Arabidopsis thaliana: one gene and its partners. The protein of the gene in region 3 purifies or fractionates together with the protein of the main gene of each other region. This does not show direct contact. Each region holds a gene or a part of one and is shown on either strand. Other genes may lie near its edges.

Region 1 (7,685 bases), on a different chromosome or scaffold from region 3:
TTTTAAATTGATATTTATATAATAAATCATCGAGGGTACATAATACGTACGGAGCTCCGATCCATCATCAAATTCTTATGTTTCTAATTACGAACACTACCCTCTGTTAAATTGGTTTAAGATGAACGTTGTTTATGAATGATGTGTATGATGCATTATTGAGAATGTTGTTAGAAAAAAAATATTTTAATACTGAAATAATTTTTTATTGCATGAGTGAATGATTAGATAAATAAAAATTATATTTAAATTAAACAATACAAAAGAATCCGAAAAAACTGCGACGTATCGAGAGTGATCACCTAATATATATTATAGTTAATAGAAAAACTTCCAGAAAATATAATAGAAATACAGTTGAACCAAACCGAACCGGGTTAGGTCCGTACGATGAAATCGGCCAGCAAAATCAAACAAAATTATGGAAATATATAACAATAATAATATAGAAAAATGTAAACTAGGAAAAAATGAAAATAGCAGAAATAATGGAAAGGAATAGCTAACGGGAAATTTTGACTCTTTTCATCACACTATATATATTGACACACACTCCTTTTTGTTATTGCTTCAAAAAGAAAAAAAAAGAATAATTGTAAGCTATGGGCTTCACAAGTTTGTACTCTCTCTATGGAAAATCCAAGGTTCTGAAATCAATTAGTTTTTCCGCTCTCAACAGTAAAACTCTCGCAATTGACGCTTCAATGTGGTTATACAGAGGTGCTTTAAATAATGCCCGGAAATTCTTGGAGGAACCAACTACACCCAACTCTGAACATATAATGTTTGTCATCAAAAAAGTCAAACAATTCATCGACCGTAATGTGAATCCTATTCTTGTTTTCGATGGACATCGTTTACCTATTAAGTCACCGCGGAACCCAATAAAAACTCTAGAATACGCAAAGGATCTTGACGCATCAGCACAACTTATGGCTCCCGATGACCCTAAGAGAAAGGACAAAGAGAAGAATGCTACTAAGATCTTTCAAAGTCATATACACATCACGCCTTATGTGATACATGTTTTCATTGAGGTAACATTTACGGTAAATAATTATTTTTAAGAATTTTCACTTCTTTCTAATTTTTTATTAACCTTTCTTTTTTCTCCCATTGAAGGTTTAAAAAAAAAAAGTATCCGAATATTGAGTTTATCGTTGCTGCTCACAGCTTGTATATTTGGCTAATAATAAAGATAAAAGCGTTTATGCGGTTCTCACTATTAACACTGACCTCATACCATTTAGATGTTGAAGAGTAAGTTCTTTAATACACTTATCAATTATTATTATTTTAAAGGTTTTTCTCATGTAGACATAACATTAATTTTTACTACCACTTTAAACTTTTGTGTGATCACAAATTATTTTCGCCAGTAAAGACTTTGAATTGCTTGAACTCGAAATGATAGACTTATTGAAGCGGTTTCATAGTAGCAAGAAAAATAAAGACAACGAAAAAGAAACTAAAGAAGAAGCAAAATCTTACGATTTTTCAGAATTCACAGACGATAATTTTCTGGAGATGTGCATTCTTTGCGATTGTGACTATTTTAAATGGCCATTAACGGAGGGATCCGAAAGAGCATATGAAATAATTGGTACTAAAACTATACGTGGTAGAGAGGTACTTTTTACTTGGTTTAGTTCAAAATAGTAGTATACTATACATTTAGATTTTGTATTTGCATGTATGATGACATGATGTGTGTTATTCATTTTCTTTCAGGTAATAGAGGAACTACTAGAGGACAGCACTGACCTAACTTCTCATCTGAAAAAATTCATAATTTTGTTGCTTTTCAAATATTAGTATGTCTATAATCAAGTAATTGAAGAGCTTCAACACTTGAATGTGCCTGAGGTGTCTAACCTTCCATTCTTGCGTGACCGTGAGTCTGGCGATGAATTTGTCATTCGAAAGTATGAAGATTCTACGGGCACATATTTGTCAACAACTAAGACTAAGGAAATAGCATAAGGAAGACTTAATCCTGAAACCCACGAAAAATTTACACACGTGGAAGTGGAAGAAACAGATGACGAAGAAACTACTTAGACAAAAGTATCTAATAATTTGAATTTCGAAGTTCTAGTTCAAAATAAAGGAAGTCTAATTTCGACAAAAAATCTCACATCTATACCATATTTTACGGTTTTAGTTTTTTTTAGTCGTTAGCAACAATGACAATCAGTTATATTTTGTTAACTTTATAATCGTTAGCGATGACTATCGACAATGAAATCATGTTTATTTGGTAGTCGTTGGGTCGGGAACATTTAACAAATGATTTTGATTCAATTTTTTTTTTTTCTTATAAACCTTATCGGCTGATCTGGTTAGCCCTAGTAAAAACACACCGAAATGTTTTCGAGTGGACTTCTTCCCGAAAAACCACCATACTGTCTGTCTGTCACGAGTTTGAAATGCTTTCTGACTAATGCCAGGGGGTAGTCAGGCGGCCGCCTACATTTCTAATTACCAAGTAAACCAATTAAACCAAGACCCAACTTATACACTTACCAACTTTCAAGGAGAATCGAACTCGGGTCTAAGAGTTTCATCCTTCCCAAAGCTTCCCCTACCACTAAACCACATATACTTGGCCTAGGTTGAAAACTTTCAGTGATACAATTTTTTACTTGCTAATCGTTCAAAAATATTGACCATAAATTGTCGATGAACCAATGGCTAACACTATTTAGTTGGTTGGTCGCAATCGCATAGCATGTCCCTGACACAAAAAAAGCAAACAAAAAAAGAACTACTTGGATCAAACAAAGAAACCCATGCTTGGGCTCAGACTGAAAACAAAGTAATTGGGCCAAACCCATTTAGTATTAACCGACTAATCAAGTCCAACAATGTACAGCATGAAATAAACGCTACCCATTAACCGACTCAAATCGCACCAAGTCAGGCCCAATTAATCCTACACAGGCCCATTTAGAAGAAAGTTAACTTCCTCCTTAAGAAGAGAGAAGGGCTAAAAATCAAGCTTTCACGAGTACGGAAATTTACAGTATCTCCTCCATCTTTTTTTACTTTCCTCAGAGCTCTCTCCTCTCCGCAACTTCCACCACCACCAAATCGGAACTCTCGGCGTTCTACTCCGTCTCCGGCGTTACCTCCGTCGATTTCATCTTCTCAGGTTACTTAGGGTTACCTCTTTTTTGCTTTTTGATCGATAAAGTGTGATGATGTCTAGCGTTAACTCTTTTCGTCTTCGTAGTCGTAGTCTTAGGGTTTTGGTGGCGACGATACTTTGATTTATCAAACCGAACTTCTTCTTTGTGATCTTCGATGAATCAAAAGTTTTCTAAGGGATATTAATTAGGTTTTGTTACCGGCGATAATTAATCCATCTTCGATGCTTCTTCTTTACACTTCTGACTTTGTTTCTGATGTTTTAACCTCTGTGGAGAGCTTGATAGAGTGACATTGCTCTGACTAAGCGTTTTAGTTCAACGCATGGTTGATTCTCTTTTTACTAAGTAATGAATTTTGAGATCCTTGTTTGATTGCAGTTGGAAGGAGTGAATTGAGAAGGTCGGGCCAATATGGCGAACTTACAAGTTTCTGGGATACTCGAAAAGGTCTTTTCATCATCTGTTTCTAATTAAGCTTAATTTTGTTTTTGAGTATAGTCACCTTTTCTCATTGCTGTATTTACTATAGTTTCAGATGACGGGTAAAGATAAAGATTACAGATACATGGCAACCTCTGATTTGCTTAATGAGTTGAATAAGGATTCCTTTAAAATCGACCTGGACTTGGAGGTGAGATTGTCGAGTATCATATTGCAACAGCTCGATGATGTGGCTGGTGATGTTTCTGGATTGGCTGTTAAATGGTTAGCTTTCTGCTCTTAGCAACTTATGACCTAAGCTGATGTTATACTTTTACATTTAGCTGATCTATCGTCGACCTTTGATGTTATGATTTTGTTCCAGTCTTGCTCCATTGGTGAAGAAGGTTGGAGAAGAACGAATTGTTGAAATGACCAACAAGTTATGTGATAAACTGCTGCATGGGAAAGACCAGCATCGTGATACCGCAAGCATAGCTCTCAGGACTGTTGTCGCTCAAATTGCTCCTACGCTTGCTCCATCTATTCTTGTTACTCTAACACCACAAATGATAGGAGGAATAAGTGGCCAGGTTAGTTGTTGGGAGGTCTATTCCTTATTATTTCGATTGCATATGCGACAGTGCTTAGGGTCGTCCTAGACAATTTCGGATCCCATCAAAATCATATTGATTGACATCTATTGGAAAATTAGTTGATTTTACGTTTTAAGTTTTATTGGATCTAATACAGTTAAAGAACTCTGTCTGAAAAACTCTTAGTAGACCAGAGCACAGTATATGCATATAATTATTTGTCTACTCTAAGGTTCTATCATCTTATTTTACAAGTAACTAATTTTCTGCGTATTTACTGCTGAAGGGAATGAGCTCAGGGATCAAGTGTGAATGTCTTGAGATCATGTGTGATGTTGTTCAAAAATATGGAAGTTTAATGACGGATGATCACGAGAAGCTATTGAATACATTGTTATTGCAATTGGGCTGTAACCAAGCCACAGTCAGGAAGAAGACTGTTACATGCATTGGTAAGTTCATAAAATTGAGTCAATATGATTGCTGGGTACTGTCGGTACTAATGTCAATATTTAGCTAATTTGAAACCAACTTTAATCTGCCGAGACTTGAGTGGTAGCTTTCCTTATCTATATTAGAAATATGGTTTTCAGCTGTTTGCGTCAATTCTTGTGAAACCGATGCTAGTTCAAATGATATATTCAATGTCATTTTTTTCCTAGTCGTATATAGAACTCTTAATTCGATGGTATATAGCCTCTTCTAAGTTCAAAATTTTGTGTGGTGTCAGCTTCTCTTGCTTCCAGTCTGTCTGATGATTTGCTCGCGAAGGCGACTGTTGAAGTTGTGAAAAATCTAAGTAACAGGAATGCAAAATCGGAGATTACACGTACCAATATTCAAATGATTGGAGCTTTATGGTACTTCCTATCTTCCTTCTTATCGGCTTGTTATATATCTTTAACTTCTTACCATACGTTACTGTAGTGTTGTAGTATGCTTCGGTTAGTTGTACTTGTGCTACCTATTTATTGATTGGGATGAATGGTTATCTACGACTAGGCTTGCCATGGTTGTAATGCTATTTAATGCGTTTTTGTTTCAGCCGTGCTGTTGGTTACCGGTTTGGCACTCATCTAGGTAACACTGTGCCAGTATTAATCAATTACTGCACTAGCGCTTCAGAAAATGACGAGGAGCTTCGCGAGTATAGCTTACAGGTATCGTGCAAGATTCCCTAATGTTCCTACTTTCTCACTACGCTTGCATTTTTTGTTTTCTCATCTAATTTTTGTAATCAGACAATTACTTAGGCGTGCTTGTAGTCTCTTTTCTTTCCTATGCTATTAAATTGGAATTCTAATCTTAGGTTCAATAAAATTGGTATGAACAATGTAGACGATAACATGTCTGTTCTGAAATTTGACTGCAGGCACTTGAAAGTTTCTTGCTACGATGTCCCAGGGACATCTCACCATATTGTGATGAAATTTTAAATCTTACTTTAGAATATATTAGTTATGACCCGAATTTTACGGACAATATGGAGGAAGATACTGATAATGAGACTCTTGAAGATGAAGAAGATGAGTAAGTTCTGATTTATTCATTGGAACAGTAGCCTAGCTCCTTACGGTGCACCATTATCTCACTGAAATAAGTCTTTCTTTCTCACAGCGAGAGTGCAAATGAGTACACAGATGATGAAGATGCCAGCTGGAAAGTTAGGAGAGCAGCGGCCAAATGCCTAGCAGGATTAATCGTTTCGCGTTCTGAGATGCTCACTAAAGTATATCAAGAGGTATATCTTTTTTAAATGATCAAGCGTATTATCTTTCATGACGGGAGTGTACAAGATTCCCTTACACAAGAGTTTTTCATTCTTTTACCTGTGTTTGATTAAATATGAAACAAGAATCTACTATAGAATTATTGTTGAGGAGTTTAGTCTCTTCTTGTGCAGGCCTGCCCGAAACTAATTGATAGATTTAAGGAAAGGGAGGAAAATGTGAAGGTATGTAATTTAATCCATTAATGCTCTATTCTTGCTTTGCAATATGGTTATTGATCTAAGACTGAGGTACTGTTGTTACAGATGGATGTATTCAACACATTCATTGATCTGTTGCGGCAAACGGGAAATGTTACAAAAGGTCAAACTGACACCGATGAATCAAGGCAAAAATTCTGAGTCCTTTCACTTCAATATGGATGGTCTGTCACATTTCTGATGAAACCCTGCTAACTAAATATGTATACCTTTGGTTTATGCAGTCCAAAATGGCTACTGAAGCAAGAAGTCTCAAAGATTGTGAAATCCATAAATAGGCAACTGCGCGAAAAGTCTGTTAAGACAAAGGTATGAAAGTGTTAAACATTCTTTTTGGTTTGGTTCCTGTTTGATACTTTCATAACTTCTTTCATATCTGTAGGTTGGAGCATTCTCTGTTTTGAGAGAACTTGTGGTTGTCCTGCCTGACTGTCTTGCTGATCATATTGGTTCACTTGTTCCTGGAATTGAAAGGGCGCTAAATGTTAGTGGATATATTCATTACACTTATTTATGGACTGTCACTGTCAGTGTTGCTCTTTTTCAAGTGCTCATGTTTTCTCTATTTTTTACTTCTCCAGGATAAATCTTCTACATCAAACTTGAAAATTGAAGCTCTTGTCTTCACCAAATTAGTCTTGGCATCACATGCGCCTCCTGTTTTTCACCCTTACATTAAGGTTGGGAAACATTAAGTGGTTTTCAGTCTATTGATATATTGCCCAAATGTTTGACTCCCTACACTTCAAAACCCAGTTTTTGAAAGTAAAAACTGACTCTTGAACTTTTTTGTAATTCTAGGCTCTTTCAAGTCCTGTTTTAGCTGCTGTTGGTGAACGCTATTATAAGGTGACTGCTGAGGCATTAAGGGTTTGTGGGGAACTTGTCAGAGTAGTACGCCCAAGTACTGCGGTGAGTATCTCATTGCATTTAGATGTCATGTACACATTTACTGATTTCAGTCTTTCCTCTTCATTTATTTAGAAGTTTGAACCATATATATATACCCATATACAGACTCACAATTTTTTTGCCGTTTCTTATTTTGTGCCGAAGCTATTTATAAATCACAGGCTGAAACATCCGCTGATATTTTTTCTTCTGTGGTTTAGGGAATGGGCTTTGATTTTAAACCGTTTGTTCATCCAATCTACAATGCGATAATGTCCCGCTTGACAAATCAAGATCAGGACCAGGTCTGTAGCATAAATCCCCCTTTTTAGTCTTGTTTATGAAAATCCATACTTCTTCGGGCAATAGACTTAATAATCTTATTTGAACTCTTTCTATTCGTCATTATGTTTAATTACAGAATTGGAAAAGCAGATTTCTGCGTTTGTATTTGTAATTTTGTGTTATTTACATTTCGTAATATCTCTTCCCTTCAACAGGAGGTCAAGGAGTGTGCTATCACCTGCATGGGTCTTGTGATTTCAACATTTGGTGATCAACTGAGGGCAGAGTTACCTTCATGCCTTCCTGTGCTTGTTGATCGAATGGGAAACGAAATCACTCGCCTCACTGCAG
Region 2 (8,300 bases), on a different chromosome or scaffold from region 3:
AGTGTATTGCTCTTTGGTTTCTGCTTTCAGCTTCTGAAGTACCATATTTTCTTGTGCCAAGCTTTTACAACCGTGCGTCAAGAAGAATTGCTTACCCTAAACAAGTATGGTTCACATAAATAATACATAATATGATTTACTGAACTATGATCAGTGCTTCAATTATATATCCTAAGTTGCTAGAAAAACTGGTCTATGGGAACATACGTTTGTTGGTGTTTCTCTTCCTCTTTGTGATGCTTCTTCTGTATTCAGCTTGTCAAGAACATTCTGCAGTTGCTCTACTACATTTTCGATGTGATCGATACAGTAGCCAACCCAGCGACTGTGATGTCCTGGACGTTGAAAAGCAATGTAGTACATATACCTGTCTGACTGTCCATAAAGAACTGGCCCTATAAGTTTCTAACAACTTTACAAATATTCACTATTTTGTTTTATGTATTGATGCTTACTTGTAGTTCTGTGTACTTCTCGTAGGTGTGTTGATAATCTTGCTCGAGCTTTTCCAATCGCTTCTTTGCTTCTGCAAATGATGAACGCCCAAATGAGCCAGGGCATGGTGAAACCATGTTGCAGGAAAGTTTCTCGGAGCCCTTTTTACTATAGTTGCATCCCATACCAACTGAGATGGATATTGTTTTGAAATTAGAAGTTTCCTGACCATCGGCTTTGAGATTTTCCATAGCTTCTTCTGAGTGTTATATGTATTTTAGCAAGCAAGTTTTTACATGGAAGCCTTGTTCTCTTGTGTTGTTATATAGAGAGAAAAAACATTGTTAACATAATAAAATAAAAACTCTCAGAGCTGATTATGCAAACCCTTGCACCCCACTCCAAGAAAGTCAATGGCTCGTCTCCAAAAGAATCTTCTTTTGTGTATTCTTTCTTTTTGGTTATTAATTATAGTTTGACCATCTGTCTCTTCTATATATTATCATCTACTTGAGGCATAAAATACAAAGAAATGTTTGTCATGATAATTAGAGCTTATTGTGATTAAACAATGAAATGTGAATGATTGGGATTTTGACAAGTCTTCAATCTAACAGATTGTCACGAACAGGTTGTGGTCACATTAAGTTAAGAGTAATGCTTCCTTAGATCAGTCTTACTTACTACAATGGCGACTAATAGTCATATAGGCTGCTCAACAACCTTAGCACGTTCTTGCTGCTGCAAAGCCTCAAATTCCCCTCCTCTTTTATCCTGTATCTGCTTGATTGATTCTTAGAAAACTCTGTGTTTTATTTTTGAATATGTGTATCAGTAGGTATCTAGGTAATACAGAATGTCAAGTTTGTATGTTTTTTTTTTCCGGAAATAACTTACCTCTTCTCTGTTCTGTTCATGTTGAATCTTTGTTCTCGGTCTCACGATTATGCTCTGCAGTTTTACGCAGATTCTCACTCATAATTTCCATAGAGCCATACTCTTTCAGTATTGTGTGATCTTGTTCTGTAACCAGATCAGCTGTTGATTGGTCTCAGAGATCTGCCTCAGCTACTTAACAACCATTTCTTGGTAAGATTTCATCTCAAATTCCAGCCTCGTTTGGCCTAATGAGTAATACATAAATACATATGATGCATTCACAAGAACCAAAAAAACTCTAAATCCCATTGAAAGGACTAGAAATGTTAATGATGGGTTAAAACCCACTCGGTACCCAAAACCCACATAAAATTTTAAGCCCATAGATCTATTTTTTCTGGAAAAAAAAACATAGGTTTAAAATGGGCTGGGTACCCAAATAAATAAAACCCATATGGGTTTACCTCATTGGGTAATGGGTACCCACGGGTTTTTTTCAGTCCTTTTTCAGGTGAATCAACATTTTCTCGTCAAAAAAGATTTCACATTTTTCCGTCAAAACCGCGATTTAACATTTACCGCCAAAAAAGACATTCAATATTTTCCCGCTAAAAAAGACATTCAACATTTTTCCGCCAAAAACGACAATCAACATTTTCCCGCCAAAACGCAATTCAACATTTTCCCGCCAAAAACGACATTCAATATTTTCCCGCCAAAACGCAATTCAACATTTTCCCGCCAAAAACGACATTCAATATTTTCCCGCCAAAACGCAATTCAACATTTTTCCGCCAAAAACGCGATTCAACATTTTCCACCAAAAATAATTTCACTTTTCCCGCTAAAAACGCAATTTAACATTTTCCCGCCAAAAACGGCATTCAACATTTTCCCGCCAAAAAGGATTTCACATTTTCCGGTCAAAAACGCAATTCAACATTTTTCCGCCAAAAACGCGATTCAACATTTTTCCGCTAAAAACACAATTCAACCTTTTTCCCATCAAATATATATGTAATACAGAAAATAAATATAATTTAAAATATATTTATAAGCAAATTATAGATACAACATACATATAATAGTATATTAGCAGTTAAAATAAACTCTAAGAAAATGACAAAAACCAAGTTGGGTACCCACGGGTAGTCTCAGAACAATCAGGTTTTTTCGGGCTTTACCCACTAAATCAAAAACCCATCTGGGTTTTGTAAAGTTGGGTTTTTGGTGGGCGGATTTATTTTGGGTTCAGGTCGGGCTGGGCTTTTTTACCCACCACAACATCTCTAGACAGGACTTAAAACAAATATCGAATATCTGAGGGAGAAGAACCTTGATGTTGTTCATTGAATGACTTAGAACATATACTGAATATCTGAGGTAGGGAACCTCGTGGCGCATGTTATTATTGTTTGGATGATTTGATTAATTCGGATTTCGATCATACCTATGTGTGTATAGAACCCTTGATTTTGAATTAATTAACAGAATTATGATATATGTCAAGAATAAATGATGTTAACTATTTTCATAAGTTGAATGCTTTACTTCAATTTGGAAATTAGAGAAAAGGCCCAAATATTTCAGCTGTAATAAGCCCATAATGAGGCCCAATAAGACACTAGAAAGGAGTTGAGTAATAACTAAGCGATTCTCTTCTCTCCGTCTGCTTCAATCCCCTTTTTTTTTTCGTTTCGTCGTTTGTTCGTTTTCTCTATCGCTCTCGTTCATCTACGCAATCTCTCTCACTAGGTGAGTTTCATATTCTTCTCTTTGATATTCTTGTGGTGAATTTCGTTTTAGATATGTACCGAATTGAAGTTCCCTCTGTTTTTTTTAATCAGATTCGGATCGATATCTCTCGTTTAACAGTTTTAGGTTTTCATTTGCTTATAGTTGTGCTTTTATGAAAAGTGAATTCCTCTTAGGGTTCGTCTATTAATTTGCTAATAAATCCTAATTCTTTGATTTATCCTCTTTTGAAACGGATTAGATGGTAAAGAATCGAAATTGATTTGAGAATGCATCAGATTTGTTTATATGAATAATTATTTACTGGGTTTCAATAAAGTTTTGAGCTTGAGCTTTTTGTCACCATTGTCAAGTAGAAAAACCCTAATTCTGGAGCTCTGTTACCAGTACCAGAGGCCTGAGTTTGGTAGTTTTCGAATTAGCTTGCTAGATAATATATGATTATTCGTTTGATAACTTATTGGCTGTTTATTGATGTTTCATGTCAGGTACAGTTTTAAATGGGTAAGAAGAAGTCAGACGAGAGTGCTGCTACCACAAAGGTGAAGCCAAGTGGGAAAGATGCTTCGAAAGATTCTAAAAAAGAGAAATTGTCAGTCTCGGCTATGCTTGCAGGCATGGATCAGAAAGATGATAAACCGAAGAAGGGCTCATCATCTAGAACCAAGGCTGCTCCGAAATCTACATCTTACACTGATGGCATAGATCTTCCTCCTTCTGATGAAGAAGACGACGGTGAATCTGATGAGGAAGAGAGACAGAAGGAAGCAAGGAGGAAGCTGAAGAGTGAACAAAGGCACCTTGAGATATCTGTGACTGATAAGGAACAAAAGAAGCGAGAGGCGAAAGAAAGATTAGCTCTTCAGGCTGCAGAGTCGGCAAAGAGGGAGGCTATGAAGGACGATCATGATGCATTCACGGTTGTTATTGGAAGCAAGACCTCAGTGCTTGAAGGAGACGACATGGCTGATGCAAATGTTAAGGATATTACCATAGAATCTTTTTCTGTATCTGCTCGAGGTAAAGAGCTTTTGAAGAATGCTTCTGTCAGGATTTCACATGGTAAAAGGTATGGGTTGATCGGGCCAAACGGAATGGGAAAGTCTACACTGTTAAAGCTTTTAGCTTGGAGGAAGATTCCAGTGCCAAAGAATATTGATGTTCTTCTTGTTGAGCAAGAGGTGGTTGGTGATGAAAAGAGTGCTCTGAATGCAGTTGTCTCTGCCAATGAAGAGTTGGTTAAGCTACGGGAAGAGGCTGAAGCTCTGCAGAAGTCGTCTTCTGGAGCTGATGGAGAAAATGTTGATGGTGAGGATGATGATGATACTGGAGAAAAGCTTGCTGAACTGTATGACAGGCTGCAGATTTTAGGGTCAGATGCTGCTGAAGCACAGGCATCCAAAATTCTTGCGGGGTTAGGTTTCACAAAAGATATGCAAGTGCGTGCGACTCAGTCCTTCAGTGGTGGCTGGAGGATGCGAATATCATTAGCTAGAGCTCTGTTCGTGCAACCTACCCTTTTGCTGTTAGATGAACCCACTAACCATCTTGACCTGAGAGCTGTTCTATGGTTAGAGGAGTATTTGTGTCGCTGGAAGAAGACACTAGTTGTTGTTTCACATGACCGGGACTTCCTCAACACAGTCTGCACGGAGATAATACATCTCCATGACCAAAATCTCCACTTCTACCGTGGTAATTTCGATGGTTTTGAAAGCGGATATGAGCAGCGTCGCAAGGAGATGAACAAAAAATTTGATGTCTACGACAAACAGATGAAAGCAGCGAAGAGGACTGGAAACCGGGGTCAACAGGAGAAGGTAAAGGACAGGGCCAAGTTTACTGCTGCAAAAGAAGCATCCAAGAGTAAGTCAAAGGGCAAGACAGTGGATGAAGAAGGCCCAGCACCAGAAGCTCCAAGGAAGTGGAGAGATTACAGTGTGGTGTTCCACTTCCCAGAACCAACTGAGCTCACTCCTCCTCTTCTGCAGTTAATTGAGGTTAGCTTCAGCTATCCCAACAGGCCAGATTTCAGACTCTCGAATGTTGATGTAGGTATCGATATGGGGACACGGGTTGCGATAGTTGGGCCTAACGGAGCAGGAAAGTCCACTCTATTAAATCTTCTTGCGGGAGATTTAGTTCCAACAGAGGGTGAAATGAGAAGAAGCCAGAAGCTGAGGATTGGCAGGTATTCTCAGCATTTTGTTGACCTTTTAACAATGGGGGAAACACCGGTTCAGTATCTCCTTCGTCTTCATCCTGACCAAGAGGGATTTAGCAAGCAAGAGGCAGTGCGAGCGAAGCTAGGCAAGTTTGGGCTACCAAGTCACAATCACTTATCTCCAATTGCGAAATTGTCTGGAGGACAAAAGGCTAGGGTTGTGTTCACCTCGATCTCAATGTCAAAACCACACATTTTGCTTCTGGACGAGCCTACAAATCACTTAGACATGCAGAGTATAGATGCCTTGGCGGATGCACTAGATGAGTTCACAGGTGGAGTTGTGTTGGTGAGTCACGACTCGAGACTCATATCACGTGTATGTGCGGAAGAGGAGAAGAGTCAAATTTGGGTTGTAGAAGACGGAACAGTGAATTTCTTCCCAGGCACATTTGAAGAGTACAAAGAAGATCTCCAAAGAGAAATCAAAGCAGAAGTTGATGAGTGAAGTTTTGTTGTTAGCTTCTAAGGTAAACTCAAACTCCTTTATGTTTTATAACAAACTCAAAAAGTTTTGGACAATTTTATTTTTAGCAATCGTGTTCTTTCATCATTTGTGCGTTAATTACATCATATATGACACTATATACATCAGTTTCTCCATATTACATATGTTCTGAGTGTAGGGTGTTGTGTTTTGGGGGAAGAAAACAAAAGACATGTGCAATTCTTTTTCAACAGTGTGTTTCCATTAGAGCCATAATAACCAGCAAATGCTTCTTTATATTTTTAGCTGTCTGAAATTTTGCTTAGTTTCTCTCGTTTATTATTTTTGGCTCTTTCTCTCTCTTTTGGTAGTTTTGGCTTTCTTTGGTTGATTGTGTTTACCATGCCTCTTCCTTTGTGTTTATTTTGATTAAGATAGTGAGTATCATATGATTGATTTAGGGTTCTAATCTTAAAGTAAGCTTGAGATTCAGAAATTGAGCTGAACGGGTAGAGATTTCGTGTTGATTTTCTGGACTTCACGAAATTAGGAATTTCAGGGATTACTTAGTTCTTTCGTGCTCTATTCTTAGCCATAGGGTCACCTAGATCAGCCATCAAATCTTTCACAGAGCTCAGGTCGTTTTGAACATGATAAATCAATGAGTCAGAGTTTGTGTATGGTTTAGAGTCAGAAGATGCATTTTCAGCAGTGTGATATCCTTGATTTCGTAACCTTGATATACATTGTTAGAAGAAATTTGTCTAAATGGCTTATCTTTTTCGCTTTCTCTGTTTTTAGCACACTCTGTTTCGTGCTTTTCTCTGATTGGTCTCTATTTTTGTGGCTGTCGTTAATCTTTTTATAATTATTTTGAAGTCAATTTAAATGAAAGCAAAAATGCAATAAAAATAAACAAACTCAAAAGAAAGATTGGTTTCTTCTACAAGGGATCAGAAGAAATCTTAAAAACAACAAAGAGGATATGATCATGATCCTTAAAATCATACCCTTACAACAAAAAACAATCAAAAGAGATTTTAATCCCATGTGTTTATTGATAATTAAGCTAATATTATATATTTAAGGATGGACAACACCAGCTTGTCCACTGGTTTCTCCTTGAGTTTGCTTAGTACGATCATATTGAGACACCCATTTGGTTAACAAATACTCTGCTCTCCTCCATGGTGGCATAAATAGCCCTTTCTTCCTAAAGCTCGTCTTTGCGGCTTTAGACAAAAATACCACAACCTTCGTCAACCTGTCAACTTGTCCAACAAAGACGTAAGGCAATGTCTTCGATATCGACTCGTAAGTCTCACTCGATCTAGCAATTTCGAACTTCGATTGGAAATCAAAGTCGATGAGCACTCTTTCTCCTCCAATGTTAACATCCAAATACTCATAGTCCCCTGTTTACCATTTTCCACAAAAAAAAAGGTTATTTTCTTAACAGTTTTGACACTTAGAGAGTGGATCAAAATGAAGAAACGTACCAGCGGGAACACAATACGATTTCGTTTTCGATTTCTCCCAGCGAGATTTGCATATTGCTGCATCATAGCCTAAAGCCACCAGTTCATCAACAACATTTTTCAGTCTGGACTTATCTTCAACCTCTCTCTCAACGATCTCGGTTGTTTTCGTCTCGAGATCACGCTCAGATACGTTCGCACAAAGTAAAAGACTCTACAAAACATTGAAAAGAAAAGAAACTCTGTTTATAACAGATTCCAAACATCAAATGTGAGCATCAGAGATATTATTCATCATACCTTGAGGCTTCGAAGAACTCTTCTAGAAGAAGAAGATTCTTCGTCGTCCTCGTCAGAGCTATCAGTACCACTTCCACTGAAGCAGTTGCATCGGTTACGAACAATGCACTTTGATTGTTTCTCACTGTCTGGATCCTCGATATAGTTCTGCACCATCCTCCTCAAACAGACCGAGCTCGGTTCGATTTCTTCGGAATTTTCTCTAGAAAGCGATGAATCTACACCGGCTAAGTTCTTCAGAGAGAACGGACGTTCAAAAAGCCGCTTCAGTCGAGATCTCGGCGCTTGTCTCATCCCTACACCATTGATGTTGATAGGCTGGACTTTGGAACGGAAAGGCATGGCTCAAAACGTACGAAATGTTTTTCTCTACGTCCAAAAATCCCTGAGAAGGTGTGCAAATGAGACGAAACAAAACTCAAAAAAAAAAAAAAAACTAGATGAGAAAATTCAAACGTTTATGATTGATTTACTTAAATTTTCTAGAGGCATAAATTTAGAGAAAGAAACACATTAAAAAAAAAAAGGGGAAAAGATCACTTGGATGGTTTTTAGATACGGATTGATACTCGAGGACACGAAAACGTCATGCTTTTAATGCTTAATTTTTATTTTTGTTTATTATAAGAGATGTTGGAAATCACTATGTGGATGATGTGATTTTGGTTTAGATTTCTCCAAAAATGCATAGGAGATTATCTTCAAAGTTTTGTAAGGGAAAGAAGAAGTTTTGCTAACAACTTAGGGAGGAAGAAACCAATGTTTGATGCTTCTTATATAGGAGGACAGAAAGACCTATCCA
Region 3 (6,940 bases):
ACAGCTTGGTGAGGTTCGAGAAAAACGGAACATACAAGAGGGTTGAGCAGAGAGTGAAGACCGAACGGATCGTGGAGGTGACTTCTGAATCGGGTAAACCGGTGAATCGAGTCGTGCACCAGCGGACATATCCTCTTACAGTGATCACTTCTACTCTTAGAGGGTTAACCAACGACAAGGATACGTATATGCTCGTGACGAATGTTTCACACGCCTTGAATGAGACACATTCAGATGGAGAGGCTTTGATCCAAGTTTATAGCAGACAAGACTCAGAGGGTTGGATGGAGGTTGAAGATCACAATGTCTTGGCTGGTGAAGCGAGCACAAAACAGAGTCTTAGCTATATCGATGAATTCAGCTGTTATTCCCGCACCATCGTTGCGGCTAATGGGGAGATTGCCCAGGACAGTTCATCTGATTCTTGTACTTCGTCTTCATTCTCAGAGCTCAACACTATTGAGCAGCTTATCATAACCAATGTTATGAAACACTTGTCGTGAATAAGAGATGCTTGTACTACTAACCATGTTTGGGGTCAAACAAAAAATACTGTTTTTGCTCAAAGGGAAACAAAATTGTAGGATCTAAAGCAGAAACAGCAGTTACAATGCTTTTGCTTTTGTTCATTCAATTATCCCGCTACCTCCATCGATATCGACTTCTCCCATTCCAGTGTCTTCTTCTTCATCTTCGCTTCCCTCATCACCACTCATTTCTTCATTATCCATTCTAAGCTTAGCCATGTGCTCAGCAAGCAATTTGTCATCACGCTCACTCACCTAAAAATGTTGTAGCACATTAAAGTCACGGAACCGAAGAAAAGGAGTGACTGAAGTAGCAAATTCAGTCAACTAGTCATAGAAAAAGGCTACAAGACTTACCGCACGAGCACCTTCTTTAACGACAAGTTTACCCTTGTGTTCCTCAATTGCAGTAATGCATGCTTCAATTGCTTTATTCAGAGTCACTATTCCTTTTTCCTACTCAGTCAGAACAAGAAAGTGTCAATGTTACTATGTAATCCTCAATGTATCTCAAAACGGTTTCCGCTTATAAATAGGAGCACACCCAACAACCATAAACATACCTTGTAATGGGTGTGAGTTGTGAGTACATAAAGTGGTGGAGCAACGAGCTTGATTTTGACTGGACAATCATCAGTACCTACAGCCTCTGCCTTCTTCATGGCTTCCTGTAAATTCATAATAATAGCCAAACATCTTTAGCTAGAAGTAGAAAACAAACAGAGAAAACAAAAAAAAAAAACAGATAAGAAAAAGGAAAAGACTGACCTTGATGTGGAGAACTCCATCAAACTGAAAACACTTCAATTCAATATCAGCACGAATCTTCATTGGCTGTGGTGTCATTCTCCTCCTAATGTCCTTCAAAAATGCATCTTTCAATTCTTCAGACACAGCCGGGACAACTTTGGTCACCTGTACAGAAGATATGTTATAAGTCTTCATGATCAAATTAAAACAATGATAGAGAAGGCTGCTCAAGGCAAAGAGTGTTGTTACCTCCACACCATCAGGTCCAGTTTCTTTAACTTCTCGGGTAAGAGCATCGAAAACTGAATCAGGATCAGTGACAACAATTTTGAAAGCCTGAAACACACAGTCCAAGGTACACACCATCACAACATAGTTCGTACAAACGACAATGGGCCAACTATTACATAATAAAATCTTTGGAACTATTACCTCAAAAGCATGTCCATGCTTCTTATACAATGGCCAACCGATGTTTACGTATAGCTCCTACAAAAAAGAAGGTTTTTCCTCAGAAATTGGACCTTGTTTCAGTTCAAGAACATTGACCTACATTCAAACAAATTCGAGAAGAGTCAGAGAATCGTATGAATGAATATACCTCCAAATCGACACCAACAGTCTCAGCAACATGACGCATGATAGAGTGAACAAGCTTGCTCTTATTATACCTCTCCTCACAAGCCTCTTTGTCCTCATCACTAACCCTACGTTTACTGAGATCAATGTAACCTCTCTCTCTATCGACACGAAGGACCATAACAGGCTCGGTACGACCGACCTTGATTAAGCTACTGATACTACGAATCCGACGGCGAGAGAGCTCGGAGAACAGGATCATTCCTTCGATGTTGTTGTATTCAAGGAGAGATACGTAAGCTCCCATGTCAGCGATGGTCTTCACCTGAATCATCACCGCCATGTCTACATCAGGGTATCTCGATTCGTACATACGACATTCTAGATTCGGAGCAGGATTCGCCATGGTTATGAGATTCTTGAGAAAAGATTTCGGAAGCTACGAATTACAGAGAAAGTAAGATTGAGTTTCTTAGTAGAGAGCGTCGAGGATTGAGATTTAGGGTTTTCAAAATTGGTACGATTCTGTCGTTAAAAATAGTCGACGTCGTATAATCTTCAATCTCGCCGAGTCGCTCACATTCTCACGGCCCATTCTAGTACGACACCGTTTTTGTAGTTGGCTTGCTAACGATACCGTTTAATCTACAAAATAAAAGTACTGAAATTACTAAAAAGGTTATGAAACTAATTGATTCAAATAAAGAGATTAAAATGTTGAGATTAGCTTAACTTAATGAGCTGTGTATTTTTGGTAATATGTCGTAAATTAATTTACAACTTCAACCTCTTAATAATCGAAATATTCTTAGTTTACCCCATTATTTTAACTTGGGAAAAGTTCATCGAGAAGTATTTCGAATCGTGACCACTCACTCATAGTCATTTCTCTCCTTTCTTCGACCTCACACCAAAGAACATAAAAGAAGGAAATTGTAAGTTAGAACTAAAAGGCGAACACGAAGATTCATGCTTTCAGATGAGTCTAATCTTTATGAACCTTAATTATTACAAATCTTGCTTGTTCTTATCGAATCTACAGTTCTTTTTTTGGTTTTTTTTTTTGTCCATGTCTGTTTTGACTTTGTTGCCAAGGAATTTACTAAAACTAGTAAGTCTAAGCTCGTTCAGTCGTTTGCAATGTTTTAATTGAATCAATGGTTTGTTCTTCTTCCTCTATTGGATGTCATGGAAGTAAAAATCTTCAGGAATCTTCTTTGCCTTGATTCTGAGATTTTTGGAATTTAAAAGTTTAATCCTTTCCTACACTTCTTGTAATGATCAAAGATTACTGTGATTTTGTAAATTTTTCTATCGGTTCATAGTTTGTGATTTTGAGTTAAGTTGTTAAGAAATCATGCAAACTGCCAGAAATTTTTGTCCAGAATTGCAAATTGAAATTGATTTCGGTTTGGTTTACTTTGGTTTTGAAATTAAAAATGATTTTGGTCCGGTTAGCAATTGGTTTTGAGAAAAAAACAAAAAAAGTCACGCGATAGAGAATTTGGAGAGAAATGCGTCGATACAAAAAGGCATGAATTGGAAAGGGGTTTACCCACAGAATCGCTCTCACTCGCTCAACGCGCTCTTTCTGCGAGTGGGTACGAAATAGAGCCTTCTGATTGGTTTAGAAACGCAAAAAAAAAATGAAATAGTAGACATGTTGCTAGCTATGTTATTATTTACTTTTCCTCTCCTTAGGCAAAAACTAGATTCACGCTTTCAGATTTCAACTGGTGAGTGCTAAAATATGTATAAACCTTAATCATTGTTAATCGTCTTTGTTATCATCGAATCTATAGTTCTGGTATGAATTTTTTGGTTGTCCTGCTCTGTTTTTACTTTGTTGCCCAGAACTTTTACTAAAACTAGAAAGCTAAGCTCGTTTGTTATGTTTCATTTGGAGCAGTAAATTGTTCTTCTTCCTCCATTGGATGTGTATTTTTGTTTGTTCTTTATGTTCATTGTGTTGACTTGTCGGTTTTAGTGGAATGAACAAGTTGAGAGTGAAACTGAGACTAGTCGTCGTCCTTTGAATCTTTCAGATAAGGACCAACATATACCACAAGGCAAAGAATCTGTGCATGAAAAGGTTTGTTATTATTATCAACCTTATAATCATTAATTCATTATCGTATGGTTCATATCCTTGAACTGACTAAACAAACCATCAATGGTCTTATTAGATCGCAGGTTCGGAAATGAACCATAATTCAAATCAACCCACAACAACAAAGCTTTGAACTCACACGCTCTACTTCAACCACAAGGTTAGGGGAAGCATCCAACTCCTGCCATGAACCATCTTCACCACAGGTTTGAACCACGAACCGGACTCCCTTCACATCTGATCCAACGACCATTTCAGAGACATAATAAGCATCAACATGAGCTGTTCCAAGAAACACTTTCTCGCTTCTTGGTTCTTCCATAACCTTCCTTGGTCTATACTCACTCGAACTCAGATTCTCTGCATATACATTGTACTTTGGAAAGACAGAATCTTCTTCAGGGTGCTTCAATCTCCATTCTAGCTTACAACTTAAGGTCTTGGAGCCAGAATCACCCGGTACAAACTTTACGTGATGAGCCTCTATAACCCATGATGACGCCAGAGGATAAACCTTGGCTTTTTGCTGGCTCTTGATGGAGATATGTCCAAGCAATGCAAAATACTCTAGTGTGTTTGTTTCTTCTGTGAGATCATCTGGTCTGGAGCAGAAGGCAGATATCTCAGTCAGTGTGTGCCCATCTAAAACAAGGTTTGTTTCGTGTACTGTCCAACCGGATGTGGTCTGTTTTGATGTGAGAAGACATGGCAGGAACATGTCGCCAAATCTGTTGATAGATTCATTTGGCACCATAAGCATGGACTTTTTCTCTTGTGAAGGAGATGAAAAATGGAGCAGAATGCTTAGCTCGGATCTTTTATCTGACTTCACCTGCACCAGTCCAAAGACTTACATGATGAGTAAAACTTAAAGATTGAAACTTTGTAAAGATGAGGAGGAGCTCAAATCTTATGCGTTAACTTACAGAAAAGAAGATTGAGATTGGGGCAGCAGAGAGCTGAAGCTGAGGTTTGAATAGTCTTGCTGTGAAATGTGCATTTCTCTTTAGTTTTCCTCTGAAACTGACGTTCCCTCCTCCATTATAAGATGCTTCTCGACCACTAGCATATATGTGTGCTTAATTGTTAGATGCCAAAACAATTTCTTCTTAAGCTTCTTGAAAATCAAATATGAGGCTAGTATTAGGGATTTAGGGTCAGAACTCACTCAACAGTGACCTGAATGGTCTCTGAATTCCTTCCTTCATTGAATTCTAGGAATGGCTGTCACAAAGAACACAGCAGAAGAAATTATCAAATTGGTATATAGATAAGTCCAGATTAAAAATGTGACAAAAAAGGAAATGAGCTCTAGTGCAATAAAAGCTAGAACAAGGAGTGACCATTGAACCTGTAGACTTTGGCATGAGATGTTGTACCAGGGAGCTTCTGATAATTTCCGACCTCCAAGAGAGGTATGAGAACCAAGGCCCTATATAATAAACAAGTGGAGAGTTTCAAAACTCAGTAGAACATAGAATAGCCATGCTCATTTGCATCTATTCATTGGGAACAAAGTTTGACTTCACCTGATTAAAATCTGAGTAGAAAGGTAGGACTTGAGGATATGTTTGAACTATACCCCATGACTTCTCAACAAGTGACCACCATCTAAAGAAAGATAACATATGATGAATAAGATTGCAAAGATTAATTTTACCATCACATTTGGCCATTTGCAAGTATTACTTGTTTTGTGCCGTGTAAAAATCCGGGGGTTGCTCGGTTTCGTATACCCATCCAGGAGCAAATATCGCAGCTGATACATTACTGCTCTTCAGCAAATCAAGAGCAACATTTGCCTACAATACAAAAGAATTGAACAAACGTATAAAAACTTTATATGCAGCTTGAACATTGCAGACTACTGGTTGAATGAATTTGTTAGAATAAAGATACATACAGTCCATTGCCCACCACCGTAAGTTCCCCGACCAAACACATCTATTCCCATGTAGACATCATATTTTCTATCACCGGCAATTTCAGCTGATGCTTTGGGGTAGTTCTCCTGAAAGAGATACCTACTCAGTACTCATATCACAATCAAAACATATAAGATGAATGAAGATGAAGTGATTGATTGAAGTGAAAGGCCAAACCTTCCATGTATAGTTCATGAATATACCATCGCATATATCAAAGAAAGGTTTATTATTCTCGGTTAACTGATCTTGCCAAGCAAGATGACCATCAATAGTGACACTATCATACCTACAAAAAAAAAGTAATAGAAAAGATCAGTATAGTCTAGAAACAGATGAATGATTTTGACAAAAAGAAAAGCTTCTCAACACTCACCATATAACTAAACCTCCAGGTACAGATGAATGCATGACTTTTGTTAGATGGCTTACAAAAACCATCAAATTTGGAATTTGAACTTCATCTATTACATTCTCTATATTTATCTGCAAGTAACAATTCACAAGCAAAGTAAATTATCAATAATATTGCTGAACAAAGAGATCCATATATAGCAAAAAGAAAAATCACCAGCCAGCCATCAAAGCCAAGAGCAGCAGCAAGTTCAGCCAAACGCTCTGCATACATCTGCGCAGATTCCTTTGTGGCCAACAACTCTTTGCAGGTAGCTTTTCCTTCGTCCCATTCTGTGATGAAAGTCCCCAATACCTTAACATTTCCATAAAACACACACAAGAAAATGAATCATTCCTTATAACAACCATAATTGTACTTCTCTGCTTTCACAGACCAAGACAACCAAACTCCCTATCACTTATTCATTTCCTCTCTAATCAAAGTTCAACTTTTTTCTACGACTTGCAACGACTTTACTCACTTACATTCAATGATCGAAACTTGAGTTACTTTAACTATATAAATCAGCTAAACTTTGAAAAGTCAACACATTGACTTACTTTGACGCCATGTCTGTGAGCAGTGTTGGTCCAACAAGGAGGAGGAAGAGTCACTAGAGAGTGAGAGAAGTAAACGAAAACGTCCATCAAAT

The links. Proteins that work in one complex are often made in the same cells at the same time.
Region 1: the proteins of EIF2 ALPHA (region 3) and CAND1 fractionate together in Arabidopsis thaliana (co-fractionation; one large-scale study listed by BioGRID). This does not show direct contact.
Region 2: the proteins of EIF2 ALPHA (region 3) and ABCF4 fractionate together in Arabidopsis thaliana (co-fractionation; one large-scale study listed by BioGRID). This does not show direct contact.

Annotation. Positions count from the first base shown.
Region 1 is NC_003071.7:686,782-694,466, forward strand, and holds the start of CAND1 (cullin-associated and neddylation dissociated), read left to right. Parts: upstream 1-3,002; 5' UTR 3,003-3,154; intron 3,155-3,530; 5' UTR 3,531-3,563; coding exon 3,564-3,599; intron 3,600-3,681; coding exon 3,682-3,857; intron 3,858-3,957; coding exon 3,958-4,165; intron 4,166-4,454; coding exon 4,455-4,620; intron 4,621-4,898; coding exon 4,899-5,028; intron 5,029-5,213; coding exon 5,214-5,328; intron 5,329-5,540; coding exon 5,541-5,698; intron 5,699-5,785; coding exon 5,786-5,909; intron 5,910-6,071; coding exon 6,072-6,122; intron 6,123-6,203; coding exon 6,204-6,286; intron 6,287-6,382; coding exon 6,383-6,467; intron 6,468-6,540; coding exon 6,541-6,642; intron 6,643-6,739; coding exon 6,740-6,838; intron 6,839-6,959; coding exon 6,960-7,070; intron 7,071-7,270; coding exon 7,271-7,354; intron 7,355-7,549; coding exon 7,550-7,685. Other genes in the region: AT2G02550 (PIN domain-like family protein), read left to right, coding at 603-1,037, 1,816-1,983. UniProt on the Arabidopsis thaliana protein: Key assembly factor of SCF (SKP1-CUL1-F-box protein) E3 ubiquitin ligase complexes that promotes the exchange of the substrate-recognition F-box subunit in SCF complexes, thereby playing a key role in the cellular repertoire of SCF complexes.
Region 2 is NC_003074.8:20,186,824-20,195,123, forward strand, and holds ABCF4 (general control non-repressible 4), read left to right. Parts: upstream 1-2,970; 5' UTR 2,971-3,069; intron 3,070-3,557; 5' UTR 3,558-3,569; coding exon 3,570-5,741; 3' UTR 5,742-6,117; downstream 6,118-8,300. Other genes in the region: AT3G54530 (uncharacterized protein), read right to left, coding at 1-96, 208-375, 456-686; AT3G54550 (DNA-directed RNA polymerase subunit beta-beta protein, putative (DUF506)), read right to left, coding at 6,804-7,135, 7,220-7,412, 7,499-7,840.
Region 3 is NC_003076.8:1,615,901-1,622,840, reverse strand, and holds EIF2 ALPHA (eukaryotic translation initiation factor 2 alpha subunit), read right to left. Parts: upstream 2,384-6,940; 5' UTR 2,263-2,383; coding exon 1,879-2,262; intron 1,767-1,878; coding exon 1,710-1,766; intron 1,614-1,709; coding exon 1,527-1,613; intron 1,443-1,526; coding exon 1,296-1,442; intron 1,196-1,295; coding exon 1,091-1,195; intron 984-1,090; coding exon 885-983; intron 783-884; coding exon 627-782; 3' UTR 504-626; downstream 1-503. Other genes in the region: AT5G05480 (Peptide-N4-(N-acetyl-beta-glucosaminyl)asparagine amidase A protein), read left to right, coding at 1-503; ENGase85A (Glycosyl hydrolase family 85), read right to left, coding at 4,070-4,798, 4,893-5,028, 5,135-5,190, 5,318-5,398, 5,496-5,577, 5,656-5,768, 5,870-5,977, 6,069-6,180 and 3 more.